3 linked regions of the Coturnix japonica genome follow. The protein of the gene in region 2 interacts with the protein of the main gene of each other region in a biochemical or structural test. Links are inferred from orthologs where the notes say so. Each region holds a gene or a part of one and is shown on either strand. Other genes may lie near its edges.

Evidence for each region.
Region 1: of the proteins of ASF1A (region 2) and TLK1, one has a biochemical effect on the other in vitro, tested with the Homo sapiens proteins (3 studies listed by BioGRID). The link is inferred for Coturnix japonica from reciprocal best matches to the Homo sapiens genes ASF1A and TLK1.
Region 3: the proteins of ASF1A (region 2) and CHAF1B form a complex in vitro, tested with the Homo sapiens proteins (2 studies listed by BioGRID and IntAct). The link is inferred for Coturnix japonica from reciprocal best matches to the Homo sapiens genes ASF1A and CHAF1B.

The regions. Positions count from the first base shown.
Region 1 is NC_029522.1:16,215,894-16,219,393, reverse strand, and holds part of TLK1 (serine/threonine-protein kinase tousled-like 1), read right to left. Parts: intron 3,172-3,500; coding exon 3,002-3,171; intron 1,743-3,001; coding exon 1,607-1,742; intron 1-1,606. UniProt on the Homo sapiens protein: Rapidly and transiently inhibited by phosphorylation following the generation of DNA double-stranded breaks during S-phase. This is cell cycle checkpoint and ATM-pathway dependent and appears to regulate processes involved in chromatin assembly.
Region 2 is NC_029518.1:57,099,836-57,103,243, forward strand, and holds the end of ASF1A (histone chaperone ASF1A), read right to left. Parts: intron 2,687-3,408; coding exon 2,510-2,686; intron 1,301-2,509; coding exon 1,088-1,300; 3' UTR 501-1,087; downstream 1-500. UniProt on the Homo sapiens protein: Histone chaperone that facilitates histone deposition and histone exchange and removal during nucleosome assembly and disassembly.
Region 3 is NC_029516.1:96,003,866-96,007,365, reverse strand, and holds part of CHAF1B (chromatin assembly factor 1 subunit B), read right to left. Parts: intron 3,151-3,500; coding exon 3,047-3,150; intron 1,418-3,046; coding exon 1,321-1,417; intron 1-1,320. UniProt on the Homo sapiens protein: Acts as a component of the histone chaperone complex chromatin assembly factor 1 (CAF-1), which assembles histone octamers onto DNA during replication and repair.

The sequences.
Region 1 (3,500 bases), on a different chromosome or scaffold from region 2:
TGATGGCAACATACAAGAAAGATGGGCTTGAACTAATGCAAGCACACAGAAAAAGTACTGAGATGACACGAAGAATAGAAAGCCACGATGCAGAAAAAAGCCAAACACTATAAAAATACAAGGGAGCAAGTATCAGGAAGGGAAACAACCTATTTCAAAGAAGACAAGTGTTGGTACAGGAGCAAACAAGTACAAAATGGCTACAAGTAAACAGTTCCATAAATTAGAAGATTAAGTTTCTAATGATTATAGAACTGAGGTTATGGAACAAACTTCAAATCAGAGATGAGTGGGTACAAAACACCAAATTTAATACAAATGGCTCTAAGTTTACAGAGCAGATTACATGACCTGAATGCTTGGAAGGACAGGTAACTTGACCCAGTGACTGAAAAAATCTCTCCCAGTACTACATTGCTGAGTTTATGCCATTTTCCTTACACTGACTTATCCTCATCTAAAACTAACTCAAAACTTTCCCTCAGAGAAAGCAAAAATTATAAACATGGAGATTTATCATCAGTGTCTAATGGTCACAAACAACTTTAAATCTGTCAGTTCCCACCACAACTAGTGCATGTGGTGCTTCCAATGAAAGCCAAAGGCCCAAACTTTTTGAATAGTGTTGCTACAATTATATATTTAAACTCATGTTTAAATTGGAGCATTAAGGAAAGCAGCAACAGTCTAACATTTCCAAAATGCTTCAACTTGGATGACTGTCTTTTCACAGGACGTGCACATTTCCATTCACTCAAGAGTATGCGTGAGGCTTTTCTTCCCAGAAATTCTCAAGGAAAAGACTAAATCTATTACATGCAACTTCCAAATACAGGAAAAGTTGAAGAAGAAATCGGAAGGACACTGGCTTCCCCATTTAGAGTTAAGAACCAAAAGCTGAATCCTATTTTGCTATAGGCAGAAGAGGAGAAAAATGAACGGATCAATTCACAAAGTCTGGTCAATATAGTTTTTCTATTCCACTCACCCTGACACAGGTACTGTGCACACAGGCTCAAAGATCTCTTGTATCAACTTGCATCTTTAGGGAACAAATTCTAGAAATGGCTTTTCTGTTAGCAATCAATTGGGTGGTTTTTTTTGTCATCTCGCTCTGTAGGCAGCTTTAAGATTTCAGGTTTTTGGACAAGTATGTGGGTACACACAGAAAACAAGTTACAGCTCCTCAGCTGTCATTAACCTTTAGGATGGAAGAGTAAATACTCTTTTATCCTAAGGACATTACCTTCTGGTAATCCCTGCTCTAAGATTTCCAAGGACTAAGCACCCACACTTAATCATCACAGCTCTGTCAAACATCTTTAACTACCTGCAGCCAAAGATTAAACACCTGCTTCTTCTGGGAAACAATGTTTATAAACCAGAGATTTGCTCCACATTTTATATATATATATTCCTAACTTATTTCAGTTATGGCACTATTCCTGAAATTTCATGAATATCAAGATCCACAATACTGCACAAAAATCTTTGTTTGTCATTCTTGTTAGTATTTTTAATCCTAGCTATCTCAAGGAATTAGCTTTATGAAAGCATTTCAGAAGCCTCAAAAATATCCTAAGAAGAGAATCAAACCAGGCATTACCAGTAAGTTCCTGCTCCCTGTGAAGTTAAATCCATTCCATCCACACCATAGCTATCATCATCCATAATTTTGGACAAGCCAAAATCAGTAATTTTTATTTCTCCACATGCTGTTCCATCTACAAGAAGAATATTACCTAAACAGAGGGGAAAAAATACATTTTTAACTTCAAAAAATACCACCGGAATGCTTCGTTTCCAAAACAAGCCAAAATTTTCAGGAACATTCAAGTTAATGAGGGGTCAATGACATCTTTACATCATTTTTATGAACTTGAGTCTAAAGTATCTGGACTGTGACATTTCAGTGCTGTCTCAGTAGTGATAACGCAGAGTGTTCCTATCATGTTAGATGGCTTCCTCAACTTGGAGCTGTCAGGACAGCAATATAAAACAGTATACCAGCCATAATGAAATTTTGTACTTTTCTGTCCAGAAAGAATTCTAAACTACACATTTCAGGGTCTGCACATGCCAGGAAATAGTGCCAATGCACTGCTGCAGTTCAAAAAAATACAATTCCACACGTTAAAGTTGTGCAATAATTTCATTTTTTAAAATCATTTGACAAGTTTTCTCTAAAAACAGAGCAAAAACTAATGAGACTAAGACTATATGCTTCACAATTTCATAATATTAAATCTGTTATCCTTTAATAGAAATCTGTATGAAAAATTCAGCAAGCAAACAGCCTGGCACTAATGGCTACACTACAAACCCTAGACTTGAAAGTCTAGCAGATTAAAATTCACAAAAAATGTGAAAGACAGAATACAACAAAAGTACATTGTTAAAGACAGTATTCATTGTTATTATTACTAAAAAACTTGACCAGGATTTAGAGAAGAGATCCAATTAACAGTGGTATTTAGACCAGCTTCATGAAGAAAAGCTGAACTGTTTCAGATAAAGATGTAGTAAAATAAGACTATAAACATGCAAAAATGCATAAGGAAAAAAAAATAGATTCAGAATCAGTAAATCATTCTGCAAAGTCCTTGTTGAAAACGTTTATCCTTAGATGCAGAAAGTCATTATTTCAACCCTTTATAGGCTAAGAAATATATAAGGAAAATATTATTTACAAATCAACATTCTATAATGATCAGAGAGGATCTTACATGCTTATACTGTTAAATACTAATGCATCTACAGGCTCTATGACATCTTCCTACAAATACAAACCAAAATAACACAAAGGAGAAAAGTTGTAACAAGTAGTTTTATAAAAAGAGACAGATTATATTAACTGTAAAATTAGGAAAAAAAAGTATCTACCTCTCAGATTAAAATCAATCTGACAAGCCAAAGATAACTGCTATTTTGAGGCATGAATTATAAACAAAATGAGGGTAAAAATGTGATGACATTTTCAATTTTGTTATTTCTCATTTACCTGGTTTAAGATCATAGTGTATAATAGGGGGCTTGATCTCATTGAGATATCGTAGTGCATTTACTATTTGCATTACAATGGACCTAGCTTCCTTCTCTGACATCAATTTATGTTGCTTGAGATAGAAATCCAAGTCATTGCCTTCACAGTATTCTAACACCGTGCAAAACCTACAGCAGAATTTAGAGACATAATTAAATGACATATCCAACTGCAAGATCAAAGTTATGACAATCTAGTTTAATAACAATAACTTTAACAACAGCTGCCTGAATATTAAATTACATGAATGAAATTGTTAATAAAACATGGGGCAAAATGATTAGATTATGAAATCTGACATCAATCAGAACACAAACAACTCACCAAAAAAGAAAACTTATGCACACTGAAAAGGTGTTACAAAATAGTGTTTTCATCACTCTATAGAAGATCTCCTCAACACATGCACACATACTCATATCTATCTGTGACAAACTAGTGGTTGGGGTTTTTTCCT
Region 2 (3,408 bases):
TCAAGGATGCCTCAGGTAGGGAATGTCTCACTGCAAGACCTTAGAGATAGGCAGTGCATTCTCAAGTAGGTAGTGCCTGCCACAAAAGGGTTTGAATCTTAATTTATACCAGTGGCCTTAAAGGGTAACAAAACACAGAAATATTTTAAATTCCAGATGGTTCAAAAAACTGAAAGAAAACATCTAAACTCCTTATTACGAATTAAAAACACGAGAGCACAGCATACTTGAAAAATCAGTGTATGAACCAGCAACAGTGTGTAACAGTCTCACAGAAGAGCCATTTCTTGGGGTGCTCATATTATTCTTTTTGACACTTAAGTTTTCTAACAATTGCTTGAATCCTTCCAACCACCTACATATACCATTCAGTGGCTGCCAAAGAGTTTTCTCATGAAATGGATTCCTAAAGCCATACGAAGCACTGTCCTCAACAAACCACTGTTTAACTAGCAGCAGGAGATTAAGAAAAAGAAATTGAAGACAGCAGATGGTAAATCTCAAATTGCACGCTTTAAGTAACCACTATGTGCCTTGAAACGAAAAGAAGCTTGCACTTAAAATTATACCGTGCTTCCACAGAAAGAGGACTGTTGGGGTCTTGTTTTTTTTAAAGCAGCAAACACTTGTCTTAGCACTTCCTCTAATAACAGCTTTGCTCTTCAGGTGTTTAATTAAAGGGCACTTTATATTTGGCATCTGGCTATCAGAGAGGACACAGCACAGCATTATTGCTTCATTTTGCCTGAATATTTCAACTTTCAGTTTTTTTGCTTTCATCAGTGCTTACAAAGTAAAGGGGAAGGGGGAAGGAAAATGCATACTTTAATAAGGTTCAATTTAAACCAACAGAGTAACAAGTTAGAGAAAAAAAACAATTACTTAAAAATAGTTGTATTTATATTCCACAATTTGATCAAATACTGTTTTTTAGGGTTTTTTTTGTTTTTTATAAACTTTCTACAGGATGTTTTAAAACAGGTTCTTCACATTGCTTGTCAACTATATACTTAGGGAAACTGAGGGAAATAGTTCTGGTTGTTTTTACAGTTTAATACATGTACAGTACCAAAACGATGGTGGTTAGTCACATGCAGTCCATATGAGATTCTAACATAACATTTAATGAATTTTCTGATGTTGACCATCCCTTTGATGCTGAAGGTAACGCATCTGTCGAAAGCAGTGACTGTAGATTTGGGTTACTGCTCTCTGCGTCTTCCAGTTTTTCAGTGTTGTCCTCCCAGTTAATGTGAAATCTTGTGACTCTGGGATTAGATGCCAAAATATTCCTTTGAAGCTGGGTGGGAAGAAAAGAAACAGATTATACAGTGTTTATGTCTCCAATCAGAACTCACATGCATTTGTGGTTTTTTTTCCCCCCTTTACTCCCATATCCATATACGTGCAAAATAATTTGTTAGTGTAATTGCAAATTCAACAATACAATAAATAAAAAAGGAACAGATAAGTTTAAGGATCAAAAATTAACAGTAACTGTGAATTCAGAGTACACTCAAGGCTTCTGATCCAATCCCTGAAAATAAAGTTTAGCATAGAAAACCACTAGCAACTTTTAAAAACCAGTTTACATATGACTTTAAGCTTAGTTACATTTTAAGATCTGTTTCAGATTATGGGGATTATATCTGCACTAGTCATTACAACATATATGAAGAACTGAGTGGAATAACATATCTAGTTCATGTACACTTGAGAAATAGCCATATTTTTATCACGACCACTGTGGACATGAACATGTATACATCAGCTTTCATAAATGGGAAGCCCCAGTTCTACAAGATCTTCCACTAAAGCAAGCCAGGATACAGCACAGAACCCCATGTGTTTGTCCACACAGGAGAACTGCTGCTCTGTTCCACACGACTTGGTCTGACAAGTTTTTGATGTTTAATTGGCTTTTCTCCTCCAGATAATTCTGTTTCACATCTCATTTTTATTCTACTCCTGGTTCAGTTTTTAGCATGAAAGTAACTGTTTTTAAAGTTTATGTTTTAACTTCTTTTCTGTGTCGTCCATTTATTGAATAGTCATCCAGCCTGCTCTTACCATGTTACCCATCTTCTCTCTTTTCATAGAGAAGTTGTTCTTCAGTTTCTGCTTTACAGAATATCAGAATAGTTGTGTAGGGACTGTGTTGAATTAACACTTCAATTTCAGATCCTAATTACCTGTCCCTTAAAAAACATGTTTCTGGTTTTTTTTGGAAGAATGGGCCACTTTGTCAACAGGGATTCAGGTAGAGGGAACCAGTCTATTTCATTTCATCAGTGTAAGCTCACACTGACATCCAAACAAAGCTTCAAATTAGCAGAAACTGTTACTGATTTCTAAATGTTCACCAAATTTAGGGCAACTGCACAGAACTTCCACTTTGTCCCCCAGTCTTTTTGTGTTATTCAATGTAATTTATGGAATATTTGGAGTTTACTTCCTAGGAATATTTTCTAAGCATACAATAGATAGACTAGAACTGAACGTGCCTTACCTTAGAAAAGTCTGGTTTTACTGGTGGATTCTCCCTCAGTTCTGTTTCCGTATATTCGTTGTTTACGTAGTAGCCTACTCTAATAAATTCTTGACCTCGATAGGTGCATGTAATTAGCACAACTGTTACACCTACTGCATCTGCATCTGGAATAAGCCCTGGGTTAGGTGCATCAGCCTAGATGTGAAAGAGAAAGACTTATTAAAATAAAATCAACATCATACGTCTACCTAGCAGGGCAATCTCAAGTAGTACATCCCAGCACCCGAGTAGAGACTGTGTGTAAATTTAAATGTTTCTTCCAAGTTAACCAGAAAGCAGACCTGCTTTTATAAAAACACCAACCCTGAATTTAGGGCAGTATCCTCTAGAGACAGAATTACTTACAACAGAGTAATATTGTGTGCTGACATTTCTCCAGGGTGATTAGACAGCTTTGATCCAAAACTGCTTTTCAATACATAATTAAGCTGAGCTGTTGTTTGAACAAGTGTGCCAATACCTCTCTAATTCTACAGTGCCATTATTCTCTAGCCCACCTTAGTAATTTAGTACAAGTATTTCTTTCCGTACCTCTTAAGTTGACTTGATCTGTACGCGTTTTTTTTAATATGACTAAACCCTTAAAAATACAGATTGTAGTTTATATTTCAGCAAGAGCAGGACAGGCTACAGTGAGGGCTGGACTGTGTCACAAACATCTAGGAAAGGAAGAAACAGCGTCTCTCACCTGCTTCCACATGCTTACAGTTCACAGAATCACAGAATGACCCGGGTTGGAAGGGACCTCAAGGATCATGTAGTTCCAACCCCCCTGCCTGGCAGGGCCACCAAACATACACATTTACTAGATCAGGTTGCCCAGGGCCCTGTCCAACCTGGTCTTGAACACCTCCAAG
Region 3 (3,500 bases), on a different chromosome or scaffold from region 2:
TAAATGAAAACTGGAGTGTTACAGAAAGGAGAATGTTTGAGCTCTGCTGACTTCATCTCACTAAAACAGCAGGTAGCCAAAGCAATTCTAAGGGCTTGTCTAAATGTCCCGCTCCTTCTGCCAGCTCTGACACCCACTAAAGCTTTTGCTGGGTTACACTGGTTAGGCTGGTAGAAGACTAACCTAACAGAAGATAGTTTTGCTTTGCTGAATCAGCTCCACAAAGTCCTGATGGAAGAAGGAGGAAAAAACAGAAGGCGATGCTGTGGCATTCAGCAGTAGGTTTGAGGCAGCTGTGGAACCACAGGCTCTGGGTGCCACACAGCTAAGCTGGCCTGGCAAAAGTAGAGGAAATCTCCCCACTCCAGGCTGCTGAACATCCAGTCCAAGCACCAGCACTGGCTCTTGTTGGACTCTTGCTGAGCTAGATAATATTTGCCAACCTTGCAGAAGTGTCTGAAACGTGAGGAGGTAGGGAACTTCCTCTACTCACATTAGTTCATGCTCTAGTTTGTGACTTGACTCCAAGAAAAACTTGTGCATCACAATATTACTCATGTTTTGCTGCTGTTCATTTTAATAAAAGCAAGCAAATTTCACGTAAGTGATTATCAAAAAACAGAGGCTCATAATGAACTAGAAGTCATTAACTCACCATTTCTCATAGCCTACTGTAAATCTTAACACTACTTCTGCACTATGACAGCAATTTTCTTTGCAGTGGGTGCCAGACGACATGCATTTATTAGCCAGCTGCAATCCCTTCAGAGCAGCACACATGCCCTTAACAGTTTAAGCTGAACTGCAAAGTTCTGACAAGGCCCAACTTTTATGAAGCGTGCATTTGCTTTCCCAGTGACATCACTTACAAAACTGCTGGGGATGGGAGGGAGCAAGAGGGCAAAAGAAAGGTATCCGTGGAAAAACACTTGAACTGATTACTTAACCTGTTCGTATCTTTCTGTAAAATGTATTGATAAGGATGGACTTATTAACTCACTGACAACCAGAGAATGCAGCCGTCTCTTTAAGATGCATCTGGTATCTCTCATGGCTAATGGCATGAAAACTTATTGCCTAAAGACAATTTTCTTTGAAAGGTTACCTAAGCTTACCTGTCATTTAGAAGACATTCATACCTCAGGAATCATTTAGCACAGTCATAAAGCTAACTAAATTAGCATGTTGCTTTCACCTCAACCTTCTTACAGAACAATGCGAACCCATACAAAAGTCACATTTATAGCATATACCTGAGCACGACTTATAAGTATGTTTAAGAAAGAACATCAAGGCAAAACACTTAGAGCAACAGCTCACCTATCACAACTCAGAGTTGCAATGTACTGGCCTAGAGGATCCCAGGTTATTCCTTGGACATAACTCTTGTGTTCATTTAATATTGAAATCTTCTGTCCTGAAATTACAAACAGTTCCCAAATTTTCAATTCAAACATGCTTTAAAAACATTTCTTCATTTCAGAAATAAAACAAAGTAGAATGTTTTAAAATGTTAACAAATAATCTTTTGAACATGCAAATCTATCCCGGTGGCACCTGACAAGAATGTTAGAAACAGGTAAATTCTAGAAATAAAGCAGCTAGATGCAGACAATTGGCAATGACAATTCAAGGGCTGTTCCCTGAGAACTAACTCAGATAAGCAGCCTGGGTCACGCATCAAATGTGCACATTTCAAAACTAAAAGCATATCAAAATTTTTGGTGCTAGGACAACGTACAGGTACATGTCATTCTCATAAAATACTTCATTTTAACTGTCAGTTACGCAGCCCTTTGAAAAGATAACAAAGAGTTGAGGTCGTGCTGCAAATTTCCGTAAGTCTTTCTGGTCCGAAAGTCCCTGTTCTCAGACAGTGCCCAACAGCAGATGCCTAAGAGCATAAGAAGAAAGTGAGCACACAATGGTACTTCTCACAGAATCACAGAATTGTAGGGGTTGGAAGGACCTCTAAGATCATTGAGCCCAATCCACCTGCTAAAGCAGGCTCCCTACACCACGTCACACAGTAGGCGTCCAGGTGGGTCTTGATATCTCCAGAGGAGACTCCACCACCTCCCTGGGCAGCCAGGATGTCCTCTGAGTTTCCAGCAGTAAACAATTCCTTAAGCCAGTGATGTTGTCTTTGTACTCAACAAACCCCATGGATTTCTTTTATTAATATTCTTTCTTTCATTCAGGTTTTTGTTTTGTTTTCTTGTTGTTGTTCTTAAACTATGCAATCTCAGCTCTCCTTGAACTCTTTACTTTCATGGCTAACAACTTCAACACAAGTCCTATATCTTCCAGTACTGGCTTCTTACTTCTGACTTACTAGTTCTGATACTGCCTAGAAGATATACATTTCCTCCACAGCAGTAATTCCACGCTAAAAGAAAGCAGCAAGAATGCTTATACTTATGGAAGTTATACTTAGGGAAAGTCAACTATATCCACATGAAATTAGAAGTGAAAGTAACGATCACATTGCCTCATCAGAAAATACTAAACTCCTGTCAAGGAGCCTAAAGTAGTTGGTTATTGGCAGCTATAAACACGCAGTTGGGAACTGCAGTGTCCTAAATATTCTAAACTGGTCAAACCTCCACAGGGCTTTTCTAGGAGAATATGAGCAATCCCACAGCAGAGGGATGAGAATGAACAAAAGCGTTTTGCTGACCATAGTGTAAAGAAGTGTCATAGCTTGCAAAACAACCACCTTCTAAGTTCTTCTGGATTTAACTGAAGTAGTTCGTTGATACCAGTCAAATTTTGTTTACTTGTTGGGGAGCGTGGGGTATGAGCTTGATTGAGGGAGGTGGGAAGAAAGGGTGACATTCACTTTCCAAGTAATCTGAAGTGATTACTTGTGTATAAACTTTGTTGACCTGAAAGTATCTTTAAATCTTTAAATGCCTCACAATTCCAGAAATCTACCAAGTAAGTTGACTGTTCTCTCACTAAATAAAGATGCGCTTAATTACTTTGGTAAATACCCAGGGATACATCAGGGCTGGAACCACAATGGATAAAATGCAGTACTTACCTTTAATGACATCCCACATTATAGCCGTGTTATCTACGGAGGCAGATGCCATGTAATTCCCATCTGAGGTCCAACAAATATCATACACGTCTTCTAAGTGGCCTCTAAAAGCCAGCAAAGGAACTGATCATTAAGACAAACAGGTACAGGTAAATGTAACAGCTGTACATGTTTTGGGGTTAAAAAAATATAATAATAATTAAAAAATCACACACATTTGAAACTGTTCCTACATAAATCTCAATAGTTGCAAGGAACGTATTGGTTATGGATAGCAGTGACTTACGTTTCATAAACAAGTGTAATTCTGAATGATTTTATCAGCATAGACAGAGACCAAAACTTCTAACAGATACTACACGGAAAGCAAAACAAATATACATCTCACAAAAAACTACCGCAGATTGCAGAACCACAGAATCACACAGAATCACAGAATGACCCGGGTTGGAAG